4 linked regions of the Xenopus tropicalis genome follow. The protein of the gene in region 1 interacts with the protein of each later gene in a pairwise test. Links are inferred from orthologs where the notes say so. Each region holds a gene or a part of one and is shown on either strand. Other genes may lie near its edges.

The links. The genes of interacting proteins can lie anywhere in the genome.
Region 2: the proteins of nfe2l2 (region 1) and wac interact in a two-hybrid assay, tested with the Homo sapiens proteins (2 studies listed by BioGRID and IntAct). The two-hybrid records come from large-scale screens. The link is inferred for Xenopus tropicalis from reciprocal best matches to the Homo sapiens genes NFE2L2 and WAC.
Region 3: the proteins of nfe2l2 (region 1) and mafg interact in binary tests that used the Homo sapiens proteins (3 or more experiments, as listed by UniProt). The link is inferred for Xenopus tropicalis from reciprocal best matches to the Homo sapiens genes NFE2L2 and MAFG.
Region 4: the proteins of nfe2l2 (region 1) and tnnt1 interact in binary tests that used the Homo sapiens proteins (3 or more experiments, as listed by UniProt). The two-hybrid records come from large-scale screens. The link is inferred for Xenopus tropicalis from reciprocal best matches to the Homo sapiens genes NFE2L2 and TNNT1.

The regions. Positions count from the first base shown.
Region 1 is NC_030685.2:65,693,777-65,698,427, reverse strand, and holds the start of nfe2l2 (nuclear factor erythroid 2-related factor 2), read left to right. Parts: upstream 1-1,410; 5' UTR 1,411-1,497; coding exon 1,498-1,539; intron 1,540-4,651.
Region 2 is NC_030682.2:24,252,794-24,257,587, reverse strand, and holds the start of wac (WW domain-containing adapter protein with coiled-coil), read left to right. Parts: upstream 1-1,879; 5' UTR 1,880-2,188; coding exon 2,189-2,229; intron 2,230-2,396; coding exon 2,397-2,430; intron 2,431-4,794.
Region 3 is NC_030686.2:27,981,957-27,986,585, reverse strand, and holds the start of mafg (transcription factor MafG), read left to right. Parts: upstream 1-1,714; 5' UTR 1,715-2,790; coding exon 2,791-2,841; intron 2,842-4,629. UniProt on the Homo sapiens protein: Since they lack a putative transactivation domain, the small Mafs behave as transcriptional repressors when they dimerize among themselves.
Region 4 is NC_030683.2:104,578,420-104,583,128, forward strand, and holds the start of tnnt1 (troponin T, slow skeletal muscle), read left to right. Parts: upstream 1-1,794; 5' UTR 1,795-1,905; intron 1,906-4,709. UniProt on the Homo sapiens protein: Troponin T is the tropomyosin-binding subunit of troponin, the thin filament regulatory complex which confers calcium-sensitivity to striated muscle actomyosin ATPase activity.

The DNA.
Region 1 (4,651 bases):
CACCGAGGCTTCTGCCTCGGGGGCCCCTGCACTCCCCAATGGCCCCCGCCGCAGCTTTTCAACCCCCCGCCGGCCCTCTCCCCTGAGAGCGGCTAATTTAAACTTACAGTCAGGGGAGGCGGGAGGGAGACCAGCGGCACAATGGGTTTTTTCCCGGTGTCCCAGTCCGACCCTGGTCGCTGGTGAAAAGCCCTTCACATTGCTTTGGTAATCCAAAGTCACGCAAAATTTCCTCCTCCTCCCATCATGGGCAACTAACTCACTCTGTGGGTTTCTACTCTAAGGGCAGTGGCTCACAGGGAAATTTGTCGCCCGCGAGAAATCTTCGCTATTGCGGGAGACTCCCCGACAATATAAATCACTGGTGGGATGGCATATGCATCACTTCGGTTGCCTGAAGTTGCCTCACAAGGAAACTTTGGAAAACCAAAGCAACTTGTAAGCCATCCCATCAGCGATTTACATTCTTGCCGGTAGGATGGCATGTTGGTATTAGTCTCCCGCAATGGCGAAGATTTATCTCGGGCAACTAATCTCCCTGTGTGCCACTGCCCTAAAGGCAAAGACACATCAAGCTACCTAGTAGTAGCTACTTGTTAAGGGCTCTGGGACACGGGGAGATTAGTCGCCTGCGACAAAATCTCCCGTGTCTCGGGCGACTAATCTCCCCAGATTGCCATTTCGGCAAATCGCCTGCGCAGCGTGTGCCATCCCACCGGCGACTTACATTTTCGCTGGTGGGATGGCAATCCGGGGAGATTAGTCGCCCGAGACAGGGGAGATTTGTCGCGTGCGACTAATCTCCCTGTGTGCCAGAGCCCTAAGGCTACTAAATGCCAGAAAATACCCTGCCATAGACTATACTGAGAACTGCCTGCGCTAAAACACACGTAGACAGTAATTAGTAAATCATCAGAATTGTCTGTTTTTGTAGCAGTGACAAGTTGCTGCTACTAGTAACTCTGTGTGTCTTCACCCTTAGAACATACGTTGTCACATGACATAACTAGCCACCTTACTCCTAGGTACAGATTAGAATCTTGGACTCATTTGCCTGGGCTAGTTCTAAAAACAAACGGCCTAATATAAAAAAATATATATATATCTTCCCGTGTAAAGTGCCGCGAATAACCGAGAATCTACCTTTCACTCCTAACAGTAAGTGCTTATTTAAAACTATTTTCCACAGAGCGTGCAACTTTTGACGAGTATTGAAGGGTTAATGTCAGGAGGGGGATGGGCATAGTCTCACCTCCTCAGTCTCATTGCGTAAGCAGGTGGGCGTGGTGTGACCGTATCCGAATTCCTATTGGCTGGGAGGCGCTGCCAGTCCCTCACTACGTGTTGGCCCTTGTGGTTTCCCGTCATTCTAAGACGGGACGGGCTAGAGTCAGTGGCAAGGGTACAATCCGGAGGGGCTCCTAGGAAATATCGAGCACGGAGTATTACAGTAATCTCGTTACGGAGGAGATACCGGCCTGGGGCAAGGGGGCCAGCATGATGGAGATCGAGATGCCCCTGCCACTGCAGTCACAACAGGTGGGCAAGAGGTCCCGGGGGGCGGTGGTCTGTATATGACGTGTGTATGACGTGAGCAGTCATTAGAAACGAGGAAATGGCAGAATCATACGCGGGGATGGTTGTATGGTGTAGGGCGGAAAGGATATCTGCTGTGGAAAAGTAATAAAGTCCTATTATACTTTCGCCTGAGTCGCTTCCGCAACTGCTTGCATTCCATCCACAGACCAAGGCTGCACATCCCTCATTGATGTGAACCCCAGAATTCTTTTCAGAGGGGGCTCCACTTGTCTTATTCCGGCAAAAATCCAAAAAGTAGGAAAAAAGCTTCAGCAGATTTACTGCAAACCATTTATTGTGGGTTATTCCGGCCCTGCTCACACTGTACCTGGGAGCGTCTGAAGTTCAAGCTGTAAAGTACTTTACTGTGGGCTTAATGGTGCTGTGAGCAGCGCCCCCTATCTGTCAGTGCAGCTGCCCCTCCTCCCACCGGATGACTGCTCATGTGATCACTGCATCACTTGATCTCTCCAGAAGGACAGTCCTATTCCCCAATATGGGGACTGGTTGGATGTACCTGACAGAGCTGATAACCTGCTTCTATGGCACAAGGGAAAATGGATGGTAAAATAGTGCAGAAATGAGTTGATATTCATAAGATAGAGGGGTTAATAGGCAAGCAAGAGGTTACTGAGCAAAGGTTTGGGTTGGAAATAAAGAGGCATACAAATAAGTTGCAGAGGTGGGGTCAGATAATAAGGGGAAGGAACAAACCGTGAGAAAAAGCTGAAAAATGGAGTGTTATTTCAGTACAGAGAGATTAGTGATAGGACCTTGTCCATTAGGGATCGTGATTAATGGCCGGATAGTGTGTTAGATCTTGGTGGCCATGACAGTAAAAGCCATGTACTAATGTAGAGTGCTTATTGCATGTTTAAGTACTGAATGAACATGATAGGCTAAGCTATTTCTTGCATGTGGCTGCTGCAGAACAGCTTTGTTTCACCTGTTATTAATAGCTTTAAGTGGCCTACTCATTACTAACATGGCCTTAACATCGTATTGTACAGCGCTGCGGAATATGTTGGCGCTTTATAAATAAATGTTAATAACATCGGACTGGCTGACCTAGCACTCTTTCATCATGCCTGCCCATTACTGCTGTATACCACAAAGGTTAAAAGGAGATACAGGTATCGGACCCCTTATCCGGAAACCCGTTATCCAGAAAGCTCCGAATTACGGAATGCCCATCTCCCATAGACTCCATTTTAATCAAATAATTCAGAATTTTAAAACTCATTTCCTTTTTCTATGTAGAAATAAAACAGAACCTTGTAATTGATTCCAACTAAGATATAATTAATCCTTATTGGATGCAAAACAATCCTATTTGGTTTAATGTTTTATTGATTTTTTAGTAGACTTAAGGTATTGAGTTTCAAATTACGGAAAGACCCCTTATCCGGAATACCCTTGGTCCCGAGCATTCTGGATAATGGGTCCTATGCCTGTACTAGAAACTGCAGTTCATCAGTATATGCATGGTGTCTGTGCCTTTTATACAGTGTTTATGGTTTTTGCCCCATTGCACACTTTAATGGGTTTAGTGCTGTGTGCCAGGCTGCTGAGAATAGCAAATGTGGAATTTTGCTTTTTGAGAAACAATTAGTGCCATTTAAATTCCTATTTCAGATCCTAGACCGAAATAGTCAAGCCTGAATAGATATTCTATGATTAGCAGAACTTGGGGCCTTTTTTTGTGTTTTTGCAGTAATTGCACATCCAGCACAGACCAAATTAGTTGACTGTCTCTAGTGGTATCCTGTCAGACCCCTGTTTCCATTGGCCCTTGGAATATAGTCACCCTCCTCACTGCTTTCTGCTTGGCTTCCTTCTGTTCTCTCTCCCAGTTCCACTCCCTGTGTTATACAATTAGTCTGCCCAGAGTTTGCTTGCTCTCTCTGACAACTGAATGTGCACAATCACCCAGGGGATCCCTAGGGGGTTTCAATATGTACAGGAGATAGGCCAAAACTCCTCTTTATGGTCTGTTTTGAAACTTAAAAATATACAGAACTAGGATCTGTTTTAAATTTTTTTTTATAAACCATAAGTTTAATGTGAGAAATCATCATTTATTTGCCAACAATTTGTGCATGTAGTAGATTTATTTTTTATATGAACACCATCTTATCAGTGTAATTGTTTCACCTTGTTAAACTGAACCCTTTATCATTAAGTTAATATAGGAGTGCCCTTTGAGTTGCGTCATTAATAAAATTTACAGTTTACCGAACGTGGGCTCAGTGTAAATACTAGAATAATAATTGACTTTATTAATATGTGACCATTTTTGCAGCACAGCATAAAAACTTGCCTACAGCAGAGCCTTACAGCCTTAACCTTTAATGTGAATATTTAAAATAAGGCCAGGATGAGTCAGTTTCACAGGTCTGTGATTACTGCAGAATTCCAGGTAGAGTTGAAAAGAAATCCTAATTATTGCAGTTAGAGTTGCCTCTGTTTCCAGAGAAAGGGAAAAAAATGCCTTTTTTTTTTTTTTTTAGCTTTTACTAACTACTTCAGTATTAAGCATCTTCTTCTTATTATTCATTTACTGGTAGGCTGATAAATGCTGGGCAGGTAAGAACAGTGTTTGAAGTAATTCAAAACACTGATTGGCTATGTTAAAGCTCAAATGGTCAATGTTATTGTATGGTTTGCACACACTTTAACATTAAGGACATACAGACACTTTTTCAGAGGTGAATAAGTTGCTGCAGTGCATGCTGGAAGTTCTCCGCCATGTTCTGTCAGTCATAAGGAAGTCACACTTACTTTCATGTGCCTTTAAGCATAACGACCCCACAAGGCAGATAATCTCAATAGATGTTCATGAGAGTTTAGTTTGGCAGTGCATGTTGCATTGGGAGAAGAACTGAAGACTCTACACTTCATGGTGTGCTAATCATTTGGCCTATAAATAGTTGGGCAAAGGGCACCGCATGGTTGGCTACTGCATTGTGTGGGCTCCCAGTAACATAAATAGAAAATGGGTGACAGTGCTGGTCATGGTGCATTTCAACCCATATATCCTTTAGGGAGTATTATCACCATTTTAATACTGGAC
Region 2 (4,794 bases), on another chromosome or scaffold:
TTTATCGTCATCATTACTGGTGACATGGAAGAAGGATGTGATTTTAGCAGATTTATTATAAAGGTTTTGTTTGAGAAAATTGGCGATAGAGATACTTAAAGTTGGCAAGCCAGTGGGAAACATAAAAAAATGAACCTGCAGATCAACAAAAAAATTAAATTAATGGTAAATTGGTTTCATGTGAAATTGAATTGTTTGCCATAGGGGTGAGAGATGGTAAATATGTGTTCCCTAGTATGGCCTTAGCTTATGCATCATTTTGAACACCTAAGGCTGATGCCACATGTGGCGTTTTTACGCTGCGTATTTTAATTCTCTCGGCGGCTGAAAAACACACGATATCATCATCCATAGAAATTACTTGAAAAGACTCGAAGGAAACCACACAATGCGTAAATACGCTAGAAAACGCCTTATCAGGGATTTTTCAAGCCGAAATACACTGTTTTTGCACAGCAACCTATTCCTATGTATACACAAAGGCAGCTGCCAGACCTAGCGGAAATACGCGGCATTTTTTACTATTTCGCACTATTAGAACCTTTTCAACTCCTTTTATATAGTTGAAATGGCGGGATCAGATGCAAATGTGCTATACCCTCATACTGTACTACCTAAGGAAGCCCACAGAGCCCCCCATACACAGTGCCTTTCATACAGAGCCCCCCCATATACAGTACCCCCCATACACAGTACCCTTTATACACAGAGCCCCCCCATATACAGTACCCCCCATACACAGTACCCTTTATATACAGTACCCTTTATACACAGAGCCCCCCCATATACAGTACCCCCCATACACAGTACCCTTTATATACAGTACCCTTTATATACAGTACCCTTTATACACAGTGCCCCCTATACACAGTGCCCCCCATACATAGTGCCCCCCCAAACACAGTGCCCCCCCATACACAGTGCCCCCCATACACAGAGCCCCCCATACACAGAGGCCCCCAAACACAGAGCCCCCATCGCGCTCCGACACTTTATAAGGTTGCGCCCCGTGTGTATGTGTGACGTCATTACGCACGGGCGCAACCTTATAAAAGGGCCAGGGACCGCCGGCGAAGGAGCCACATGAGAGAAGCAGCGCAAGGAGTTGGAGCGCTCATCCCGCTGTCACGGATCCTTCTATGAATGTCCCGCATTTCTGTAATCTATTACGAAAATGCGGGACATTCAGGGAACTATCCGGGACAGCGGGATGAGCTATAGAAAACGGGACAGTTGGGGGGTATGCCACAGGCAGGGGCTGTGTGGCTTGTGCGGCACTTTTAGGCTGAGAAAATACGCAGCGTAAAAACGTCACATGTGGCATCAGCCTAAAGCAGGAGACGCTAAGGAACTGGCATTAAATACAGGGCATAGTGCAGATTACAGCACCTCAAGAGCTAGGCACAGAGATTTGTACATGGGGGGGTCTAGAGATCATGGCTATGCAACCCTTTATGCTTCCCCACTAACACTTCCCTTACTAAATGCCCTTGTGTCCTCTGGCAGAAACTTCAGGTGTATAAAACATAATACTCAAGTTCTCAGGTATGTTTTGCACACACGTATTGTATTCAGCAAACAAGCTGGGGGGGGGGGGTTATTGTTGGAAAATAACGCCTGCGTGGCAGAATGTAAATCAGATATCTCCAGCTTGGTTTGCACGGTACACGAAAACCTGAGAAGGCGATTTGTCGCGTTATTTAATTGTACGAAACAATTAAAGCTTTTAGAAAAGAGAAAGCGATGACGAAGCTATCTGTGGGAGGCGAGGGCGGAGCTAGGAGAGGTGGGGGGCGGAGCTAGGTGAGGCTGGGCTGAGGCTGCGCGGAAAGACGCAGGAAAGGCTGCGCTGCGCATGCGCGGGCGGATGAGTTGGTTGGGATCGCGTCGCTGCGCGTTCCCGGAGAATCCGCGCTCCCGTTGCTTGCGTCGTGCCGTCTGTGTCTGTGTGTGCGGGGGGGAGATGGATCCCGGGCGCTCGCCCCATTAAACACATCGAACCCCCTCTATAAAGTCTCCAAATCTTCTCCTGAGGGTTTGAGAAAAGAGCCGGCCACTTCCCGGACCCCGCTGTACGTCTCCGAGCCCCGCCGCCTCCCGGTGGTCGGGTTTATTATTATTCTCCTCCTCCTCCTCACTAGCCCTCTTCCTCTCTGTCGCCTCCACACCCCACTCACACACGGCATTGATGGTAATGTATGCAAGGAAACAAGCGAGACTCAGTGATGGGTAATAATGCACCGCTTTCTCCTTCTCCCTCTTTCCTCCCCTCTGGCGGAGCCGCCATTTTTGTTGCGAACCCCCCGAGATGTGGGGGCGGGAGGGAGCCGTGCCCCCTCTCTCTTTATCCGCCTCAGCGGCTCTAACGGGCCTTTCTCTCTTCTTGTCTTTTGCAGCTGTCACGACCGAAGGGACTCCCAACCCTACCAGGTATCGCCTAGCGAGCGGCGCCGCTACTCTAGCTCAGGCTTCGGCCTGTACACTAGGCCCCGGATCGGAGGTTTGGCTCTAGCACTGCAGCAAGAGGGGTAGTAGCCTGTGTGCAAGCAACTTGGCCGCATTCTCTCCTTCTGCCCCAGGCTAACCTGTAGCCTCCCAGCTGCACCTACATGCATCTCTCTGGGCTAAGGGACTTCAGCAGCTGGAAATCAGAGGGCTACTTTGCCTTTAAATTAACTTTCCCTAACATAGACCTTATTATGAGACCATTTTCAGTTGGCTTTCATTATTTTTTTTCTTATTATTGCTTTTTGAAATATTTAGCTCTTTAGTTCAGCATTTCTCTAGTTTGGAATTTCAGCCCCTTATCTGGTTGCTAGGTTTTTATTTACATTAGAGAGCGGGGCAGTGCTTTGGATGACAGGCCAGAGCATGGCTAGAAGCGTGTCAGAATAGAAAGATAAGTAATAATACAATTGTATCTTGACAGGCCACCAATAGATTTTAGGTTGTATGGGACTGGGATCCCCCCCCCCATGTTGCCAGAAAGCATTTTGAATTGGAAGCTAGAGGGAGGCAGATCATTAAAGGAACAGTAACACCAAAAAATGAAAGTGTATAAAAGTAACTAAAATATAATGTGCTGCTGCCCTGCACTGGTAAAAGTTGTGTGTTTACTTCAGAAAGTCTACTATAATTTATATAAATAAGCTGCTGTGTAGCCATGGGGGCAGCCATTCAAAGGGGAAAAGGCACAGGCACATAGCAGATAACAGATAAAACACTATTGTATTCTACAGAACTTATCTGTTATCTGCTATGTAACCTGTGCCTTTTCTCCTTTTTTCCAGCTTGAATGGCTGCCCCCGTGGCTACACAGCAGCTTATTATATAAATTATAGTAGTGTTACTGTAGCAAACACACCAGTTTTACCAGTGCAGGGCAACTGGTGCATTATATATTTATTACTTTAAAGCTCTTTCATTTTTTAGTGTTACTGTTCCTTTAAACTTAAAAAAGACCAATTAAAAATTTGTGAAGTACAGGCAATTCTGTAACACAGTAAATTTAAAGGCAAACTACCCTTTTCATTTAGGGATTTTGTTCAGGGCCAAATGTAGATTATGGCAGAGAGGGTTTGCCAAGGGTCTGTATGAGGCAAAGTATATATAGTGTATACTGTTCAACCCCAAGATAATATTGTTGCTTGAGCTGTTAATGCAGTTTATAACATTTTATATTTAATACTAGGAGTTGTTTTCCAAAACAATGCTACCAGATAAGTTTGGTATCTCCAGTGTATATTTTTCACATGGTTAGCTGCAATAGTGCAGCACTTGGTTAACCCAGCCAAAACAAACCAACACAGACTCTAAAACTAATCTTAAAATCTAGGGAGATTCCTTAATACTAATCATTATGACTAGACAGGGAAGGTGGTAGAAAGGGGAAAGCAAATACTTGCCTGTTTATTAATAATCTGTTCTGAGTTTTTGGCATGGTTGCCGTGCCAGGGAAACTGGTGAGTATTTATACCAGCTGGGAAACCACAGTTCAAAACTCCCTGTTTATATTTGGGTACAGATTGCTAGTTCTTTCATTGCCTTGTATACAAATGTTCGGTACAGGATGTTTCTCATCAACAACTTTAACAAGTTTAACAAACAGGATTATTTGGGCTAGTGCTTTCAAGTGATTGTTTTGGTTTTTAAAAGCTAGTGGAGAATAAGGTGCAGTATTGGTGATGTAAACTGTTTTGCATCGGAATTGATTCCAGAGCTAGTAATAAAGAAAAGTGGATTTTTATGGGAAAAAAATTGAAATTTTTATGGAATCAGATCATTTTAGTGGTCCCTTCCACTACTTTACCTTCTCTTGTGTCAAGAAAAAACAAACTAGAATTTATATTTTAGTTCAGTGGCTGATAACATTGCCATGCACACTGAGCTCATTTATTTGGCTCTTCCACCTAACTTAAAGCAGTATTTGTTTCTTCCTTTCTATTCTGATTCTTTAAGGAATGTGACAGAAATCTATTTTCTTCCAGAGTCAAGAGTGCTGTGTGTAGAGACAGATACTGCTTTCAATATTAATCGCATTTACAAATAATTAAAAAAAAAAAAAAACAATGAAATTGTGTAATCTATTTATATTAAAAAGTCTCTTAGAATGACAGTTTGGGAAAAGAAAATGGAACAAACTAAAAAATAAAGGTTTCTCAGTGTACTGGACCAGTTTGCTAAAATGAGAGTTAGCAGAGGGGCTTATTGCAAAAATTTTGGTTTCACAGAAATAGTATTATAATGCCATAGAAATAAATCGTAATTATTAGTCTAACTTTTCGAATTGGACCA
Region 3 (4,629 bases), on another chromosome or scaffold:
CCTTTTGCAAAAGAGTCACTACTTCTGCTCCTCGGAACTACAGCCTCTCCAGAATAATATACAACCATCCACATGGCTTCCAGTTCACACATGTACAAAGTTCTGCTGGCCCATCATAGTTGCCTTGGCTGTTGGACATGCTTTGGACATGCCTTGCTGCAAGTGGTTGCTGGGCCTTCTTATCCCTCCCAGCAGGGCCGGATTTGTCTTCTGGGCGCCCCTAGGCCACCCCCGTTGACCCCCCCCCCCCCCAACGCGCATGCGCGAACGAGTGAACAACCACCTGCGAGCACGCATACGCACACATTTAAAGTCCCATAAGATGTTCCCACCGCTCCGAATGGAAAAAAACTTTAAAAACCCTGTTGCGGGGGGCGTGCCGCCCCTACATTTCTGCCGCCCTAGGCCCAGGCCTTTATGGCTTCTCCACAAATCCGGGCCTGCCTCCCAGTCAAGTTATGGTACAGCTTTTGGATGTCCCCATACGTCTGCAGGACAGGAAGAGCAGCCTAGAGAAAATGAGATTTTCTTACTGGTAAATCCTTTTCTTGGATTTACTGTCAGTGCAGTAAGCCCCCCCCTTATCTCCTTTAGAGTAGTTGGCCTATGGGGTACCTGGCTATGCTGCCATGGTTATACAGTTGCTTAAAATTTTTGTTTTGTTCTTCCTTTTCCATCTAGTTATCCTTCAACAGTTTTTTTATGTACTCTTTCTTATCCTATCCTGTGTTTTTTGTTTTTTTTAAATACAGCCTCATCGCAGGTGAGCCACCTGCACCTGGAGAGAGCTCCTAGCGCACGCAGCCATGTTATTTAGTGCACATTAATAGCTGTGACAAGTAGCTGCTACTAAGTAGCTCCATGTGTCTTCACCCTTAGAGTTGTTAAACTAGGAGTATCTCACGGTTCCACTGTTAATAAAAAGACCCATTTGGATTCCTGGAAAACTACCCATTTGAAAATATATGAATAAACCTCACGCTCCAGGTATACTCTCTTTACAAATTGAACTATCCTCCAATGTGGGAAAAAAAGTAAGAACTTATTATCCCAATGGACTAAATACAAAATATCCTGGTTAGGACGAAGATGTTTATTTTACCAAAACTATATTTTTTTCACTCCCTACTTATTCCAGTACCTAAGACTGGGCTCATTACTTCACAAAAACTTTTAAACAGGTTCATATGGAATCATGGCTACCCTTGTGTTTTGGGTGCCATTTTATGTAAACATAAGAAAAGTGATGGTTTAAATTTTCTCAGTTCATTAAAATATTATCAGGCAGCTCAAATATCTCCTATAACTGTATTACGTTTCCGATTAACACAATTTTTTTGTGGTTAAAATCACAATATGCCAAAAATTTAGAGTAACCACGATAATTTCTGATGTTCGAAAATTATTTTATCGGTCGTACGAAAATATTATGGTTCGTTTTGAAAGTCACAAAATTTTCGGATCTGAACGTTCAGAAATGGCCCAAAAACCTTTCTGGCTTTGAAACCTTCAATGCATGATTTTGAAAGCCTTCCCAACTTGGCCAAAAGATAGTCACGATACCAAAGCTTGAATAAATTCCGAAATGATTGCAGTCTTTACGAAAAATACGACTTTCTTGTGGAAGTTAACGAAAACCACGAAAAAGTTGTGACATTTTAATGAAATTATCGTGGACATTACGAAAAGTTCAATAAATTAGAAAAAATACAATTTTTTCTCAAAAATAAAAATTGTGGTTTAATGAATGGGCCCCTAAGTGTAAGGGATTTCAGTTTTATCCATTTGCCTTCCATGACAAGCAGGCCCTAGAGCCTAGACCCTCAAAGTTTGTTTGTAAACATCCTGTAACTAGGATGAAACACAGTAGTAGTCACTGCAGACTATGAAATATTTCATTTCCAGTAACATGTAATATTTGATGGTATCCTTTAGCCAAACCTTAAACCATGTGACCAGCCTAAGAAAGTCTTGCTCAGCTGCAGCATCTGACTTCAGATCTCCCCTAATGTTGCTTCCTCCTTCCACTTTGGTCCAAATTTCATCCATGAAGTTAAGGATGGATATAAGGCTAAGATATTAATGCTAAACCTCACGTTAGGAAGCATTTTAATAAATATAGATGTTTTCAAAAGAACCCAGGATACTTCCCATAGTAATAGGGTTACAATGCTTACCAACAAAACCAAACCTTCTTTTAGGTAGTTAAATGTTATACTTATCTATTTCTTATCTAAAACTTTTGTCCTTTCTTCATCTTTATGACAATTACAACCTGAACTGCATCTTTGTTTTATAATATTTATTTGAATTTCTGCTCTTTCAAAACATTCCCTTATCTTTAGAATTGTCATCCGACAGACTTCCGGTAAAAAAAATCTTCCACGTTCAGCTACTCCCCTTCCTGTGATATCACATTGTCCAATAAGCACAGATCAGACCTGTGCTGGCTCCCACCTCTTTAAAGCCACAAGCTCCTCTGCCGGGGAACACAGAAATGTGGTTCCAGTGGTACAAATGTATTTTCCCAGTGTATCTTCAGGAGGCAGTTGCTAAACCCATTAGCTGTTGCTAAGTGGCAATCCTATCCCTAGAATAAATATTGTTTGCTGGTCATAAATTCCTGCAAACGCTTCTTTATTTCATCCTGGGCAACGGAGTTACTAATCCTGTAGCCTGCCTCCTTGCTTAGCTGTCCATCTGTCACCCTGCCCTCCTCTAATTCTGATTGGATGTGCTGCCAGAACCTGTGTGAGTGACATGATGCACACTGGGTTCTCCGTTAGCTGAATGGAAACGTTTTCTCCCCCTCCTTCCCCTCCCTGTTGGATAACAGAAAAGGTATGCTTTTTTTTTTCATTTTCTGCAGTCACAGTAGAAATATGAGACATGGGCTCTGTACAGGGAAAATTATTTTTGCACAGCAGCTGTCAGTTGTGTGGGCTCTGAGTTTAGGAACAAAAAAGAGAGAATATTCATTGAAACGCCTGGAGCGGAAAAGGGAATGCAAATTTTTTTGGAGGGGGGTGGGGCATGGTATTCTTTCATCTATATGACAATTACAGGCTGAACTGCATGTTTGATTCATAAGCCCCATTTGCCCTGTTCCAAGGCGTATGGGTCCAGGGGCACTGGAGACAAGCAAGGCTTATTTACAGATGGGAAGGCACACATTGTGTTGTGTTTCCTTTCATCCTGGCATCCTGGGCAATTCAGCTACTGATCATGCAGCCTGCCTCCTTGCTTAGCAGTCCATCTTCTGCCCCGCCCCCTCTGCTTGTGATTGGATGTGCTGCCAGGCACTGTGTGAGTGACATGCCCCACACTGGTTCTCTGTCGGCTGAATGGAACCACTTGCTCCCCCTTCTCCCTCCTTCCCCCTCCCTGTTGGATAGCAGAAAAGGTATGCTTTTTCATCTTCTGCAGTCACAGTGGAAATATGCAATGTGCGCCCTGTATGGGGAAAAGGGTTGCTAACAGAAATTCATAGACTCTCAGCAGGTGCAGAGACTATATTCTCTTGCCTTATAAATGTATTCATTAAATGCAGGCTTCTGGGCTTTTGCCTTATAAATGGATTGAATGTATTCTGCCTGGAGAGCTGTTTTCTGTGCCTCTTTTATTCTTCCCATCTCTAATGTGTACAACTGGGAGTTCTCGGCCTCTCTTGATTAACTGGCTATGCAGGTACTGATAACATGGTGTGAAACTAAGTTTAATACTATATTTGGCGCATATACAGTGGTGTGAAAAACTATTTGCCCCCTTCCTGATTTCTTATTCTTTTGCATGTTTGTCACACAAAATGTTTCTGATCATCAAACACATTTAACTATTAGTCAAAGATAACACAAGTAAACACAAAATGCAGTTTTTAAATGAGGGTTTTTATTATTTAGGGAGAAAACCTACATGGCCCTGTGTGAAAAAGTAATTGCCCCCTGAACCTAATAACTGGTTGGGCCACCCTTAGCAGCAATAACTGCAATCAAGCGTTTGCGATAACTTGCAACAAGTCTTTTACAGCGCTCTGGAGGAATTTTGGCCCACTCATCTTTGCAGAATTGTTGTAATTCAGCTTTATTTGAGGGTTTTCTAGCATGAACCGCCTTTTTAAGGTCATGCCACAACATCTCAATAGGATTCAGGTCAGGACTTTGACTAGGCCACTCCAAAGTCTTCATTTTGTTTTTCTTCAGCCATTCAGAGGTGGATTTGCTGGTGTGTTTTGGGTCATTGTCCTGCTGCAGCACCCAAGATCGCTTCAGCTTGAGTTGACGAACAGATGGCCGGACATTCTCCTTCATGATTTTTTGGTAGACAGTAGAATTCATGGTTCCATCTATCACAGCAAGCCTTCCAGGTCCTGAAGCAGCAAAACAACCCCAGACCATCACACTACCACCACCATATTTTACTGTTGGTATGATGTTCTTTTTCTGAAATGCTGTGTTACTTTTACGCCAGATGTAACGGGACACGCACCTTCCAAAAAGTTCAACTTTTGTCTCGTCGGTCCACAAGGTATTTTCCCAAAAGTCTTGGCAATCATTGAGATGTTTTTTAGCAAAATTGAGATGAGCCTTAATGTTCTTTTTGCTTAAAAGTGGTTTGCGCCTTGGAAATCTG
Region 4 (4,709 bases), on another chromosome or scaffold:
CCTAATTACTGAACTGCCCATCATCAGTATGTTCCTTAGCACAGAATTCTGTAACTCTACTTGGTGTAAGGGCTTGTGCACATAGCCGTCAGATCCATGTTTAGGAATGCATTTCATCTGCTTCTTCAATGCAATAAAACTCATGCAATGCAAAAATATTGAGCAGTTACAGTTTTCTAGTGTTTGATGCATGTTCTAATTAAAGAGGAACTCTGCATACCCAATAAAAACGCGGAACCGGCGCACTTCAACATTTCCTGACTTCTACGCGGTCCACCAGAAATCCACAGGGGATTGACTGGTGGACTGCGATCAACGTTTTGGCCACCCCTGCTGTAATCTGTTCCTTTAAAAAGTATGTTTCAGATTGTAACAAGTTCTCTAAAGTTTACAGATAGCATGCAGGAACTACATACCCCACAATGCATTGCACTGCAATGTTCTATTCCTTATTGACAACCCGTGTGCACGGGATTGTGGGATTTGGAGGATGCAGGCTGAGAGCAGTCAGCTACTGTTACATTTTCTTTTAGACTTATAGTCAGCCAGACCAGCAGGAGAACAGGGGGCTAGGCTTAGGTAACTGTTCCAAACCATATTATTACATTAAAAATTATGAAAAGGCTGCATATTTTTAATTGTTGTAATTGTTAATTGCTATAATGTTGCTTGAAATTATGTTTACTTTTCAAAGAGCTTAATCTGTGCTTGGGTTGATTTCCCCTTTAATATCTGGGGAGTGAAAAACTGTAAAATGCCAAACTGCAAGTGTTTGTGTATATGCTGTGTGTGCATCAAGCAAAGCAATACAATAAATGACAAAAGCAGATGTTACCAGACCATTGGGCAAAATCTTTTAGGCTCCCTCCCACACTTTGGAAAAGATAATCTGTGCCATACACACATGCCGAGATTGCACATCTATTATTGATCGCAGCTATTATTTGCAGCTTATTTCTTCAACTAGAGGGCACTCTCTCCTCTGGCTCAATCAAACTGCTTAAAGGGGCAGTATACACCTGTGTTAAAAAATAAACCACAGGCACTTTATAGTTACAATATATACACAGGCCGAGGCAGTGCCAGTCAGTACAGTTATAGCAAGGAGCGTATGGGAGTCAATGCTCTTCGTGTGCTATTAGCCTTAAATGAAACACTGTTCATTTTATATTAATATGAGCCCAACAAGTGCTAACCCATATAGGATTCCTAAATATTTTTATGATACAGGTATAGGACCCCTTATCCAGAATGTGCGGGACCAAGGGTATTCCAGATAAGAGGTCTTTCTGTAATTTCAATCTCCATACCTTAAGTCTACTAAAAAAAAACAATAAAACATTAATTAAACCCAATAGGATTGTTTTGCATACAATAAGGATTATTTATATCTTTTATTACTACAGAGAAAAAGGAAATCAGTTTTAAAATTATTTGATTAAAATGGAGTCTATGGGAGACATGCTTTTTCGTAATTCAAAGCTTTCTGTATAATGGGTTTCCGGATAAGGGATCCCACACCTGTAGTATATTATCAATAAGTGCTTGAAAGACTTACCATACAATTGCAAATATATATAGATAGATAGATATATGTATATATATATGTGTGTGTGTGTGTGTGTATGTGCTAATTTAATGCACATGTGAGGACAGAAAAATATTCCATAGGGTGATTGCTGTTCCTCTCCCTTTTCCTTTTATTGAAGTTGGATAATCCCCCCCTCCTCCCCAGCCCCCTGCCCAATACAATATGATCAGGGCCAGACGGTGGGGTCTGGTTTCTAAAAGAAAACGTCCACCACATGCTTGGGACAGCCCCACTACAAAGGGCATTTGAAAAAGCCATTTGTCTGTCACTCCAATCATAACCTCCGACGCCTCTCACGCTGACAAGGGCTCCAGGTAAGTGAGCTGGAACATCATGCTTAGTATTAGGGAAAAGGCAAGGCACATATATATAGAACTGATTAACTGAATCACTCATCCCATATTTTTATTTAGCATGTCTTAGTCTGTCAATATAATTAGTTTTTCTGTGCAGAGAATTATTTTTGTATATTGTGATTTTTGCATTTCTCTTTCTGGCTACATTTGGTTTGAGCTCACTGTAACACTATGAACAAAAGGAGAATGTTCCAGAGCCTATATGTTCCTTTCAAGCCTTTTACTCCCCTAAAGAGCCAGCCTTTTTATTCCCAGCATACTGCATGATTATGCTTATATATGTACTATTCCTGCCAAGGAGAATACTCTTGGACATTGACAATTGACAACTGCAGTTTTAAAAAATAATTTAGCAGCTTTAGGGGTTTTTTTTGCCCAAACCCATCCCTACTGTCTCCCATTCACTGTTATATAAACCACCTTATAGCACTATTACTACTTCTTTCCGTTTTCCAATTTAAAGGGACACGCAACCCCTTTGTTTAACACTGGCTCAGTGAATAGAGATTGTGCTGAACATACCTGCTGGACTGCTGATCTGTTTGACTCTGCGGACCAGAAAGTAGAACGTGACTGGAGTGCTATTGATTAAAAAGCTAAATAATTAAAAAAAACACAAAATCTGAAAAATGAAGACCAATTGCAAACTGTCTCATTATGCCTCATACTAAAAGTTAAAAGGCTAACTACCTCTGTAATTGGGTTTGTTTTACATTAATTTTAGTCATTATTCTTCATCACTTACATTTCTCTTTATATTTTGTGGATTACTCCTCCTTACTTTACTTACTGTAATGTACTGTTGCCCTGCACTGGTAAAACTTGTGTGTTTGCTTTAGAAACCCTAATATAGTTTCTATAAATCAGCTGCTGTGTAACCATGGGGGCAGCTATTTTAGCTGAAAAAAAGGATAACACACAGGTTACATAGTAGATAACAGATAAACACTGTAACATACAATTGGAATCTACACAGCTTATTGGTTTTCTGCTATGTAACCTGTGCCTTTTCTCCTTTTAAAGGTTGAATAGCTGCCCCCATGGCTACACAGCAGTTTTGTTTATATTAAAGGAACAGTAACACCAAAAAATTCAAGTGTATAAAAGAAATTCCAATATAATGTGCTGCTGCCCTGCACTGGTACAACTGGTGTGTTTGCCTCAGAAACACTACTATGGTTTATATAAAGAATGCAGCTGTGTAGCCATGGGGGCAGCCATTCAAAGGAGAAAAGGCACAGGCACATAGCAGATAACAGATAAAACACTATTGTATTCTACAGAGCTTATCCGTTATCTGCTATGTAACCTGTGCCTCTTCTCCTTTTTTCCAGCTTGAATGGCTGCCCCCGGGGCTACACAGCAGCTCATTATATATAACCTATAGTAGAGTTACTGTAGCAAACACACAACTTTTACCAGTGTAAGCCAACAGTACATTATATTTAATTTACTTTAAAACTCTTTCATTTTTTGGTGTTACTGTTCCTTTAACTATAGTAGGATTTCTGTAGCAAATGCACAACTTTTACTAGTACAGGGAAACAGTACATAATATATGAATTACTTGCACAGCTGTTGTTTGGGAGTTGCTAATAGGAGGAACTGCCCTGGGCATTGCAGAGCATTAGTTAGATATAGGATGTTGGTGGGGTAACAGGGTAATACCGCAACAGTAGAGCCACATGGTGATAATAGAGCAAGATAGACACTGTATTTCAGTATTGCCAAACCTGCAACCCTTAAGTTGATGCAGAAGTACACATCTCACTGTTCAATGATGGCAAAGGTGATTCAGAGGGTTGTAGTTTAACAGCAACTGCTTTTGTATGAAGTCATTGTGTGAACTGATGCCATTTATTATAGGTACAGGTATGGGACCTATTATACAGAATGCTTGGGACCTGGGGTTTTCCGGATAAGGGGTCTTTCCGTAATTTGGATCGCCTACCTTAAGTCTGCCAAAAAAAATATTTAAACAGTAATTAAACCCAATAGGATTGTTTTGGCTCCAATAAGGATTAATTATATCTTAGTTGGGATCAAGTACAAGGTTCTGTTTTATTATTACAGAAAATTATTTTTAAAAAATTTGAATTATTTAATTTAAATGGAGTCTATGGGAGATGGCCTTTCCGTAATTCAGAACTCTCTGGATAATGGGCTTCTGGATAAGGAGTCAGATTCCTGGACTTGCATCTATACTTCTACTAGTGCGCTGTTCCCACCTCCTGTGCCAAATCACATGCAAGTGTGTGTATTGAGGCAGGGGATCCCTGGAGCTACAACCACCTCCAAGTTTCAGAGTTCCCACTGTGGGTAAAAATTAGAACTGCTATACCCTCACATTCATCTGTGCAAACTGAAAATAAACCTTACTTCTAAATCTGATATATTCTCCTTTCAATACTCACACAAATATGCACAGTGCGTCTCTGCCAGGACTGAGTTCACTGAAGCCCTTAAGCATCTTGCATTAATGATCTAGTTGCAACCATCTTTAATTGTGGAGGGGCCCAGGTTTTATATACAGTAATGTTGGATTGTCCAACTTTTGGCCCTTCAGCACAACTCACAGCACTGCTGACAGCCACAGCACTGATATAAAATGGTACGTGCTGATTCCATCTTGTTCCTGCTACGCACCAATCATGCCGTATACAGGTGCTATAAGGACCAGAGCAGTCGCCTCTATCTTTCCTTTCTCCTCTTAAAGCTATGGAACTACTCATTCCCTAAAATGTATTCCTCAATGGCTATCC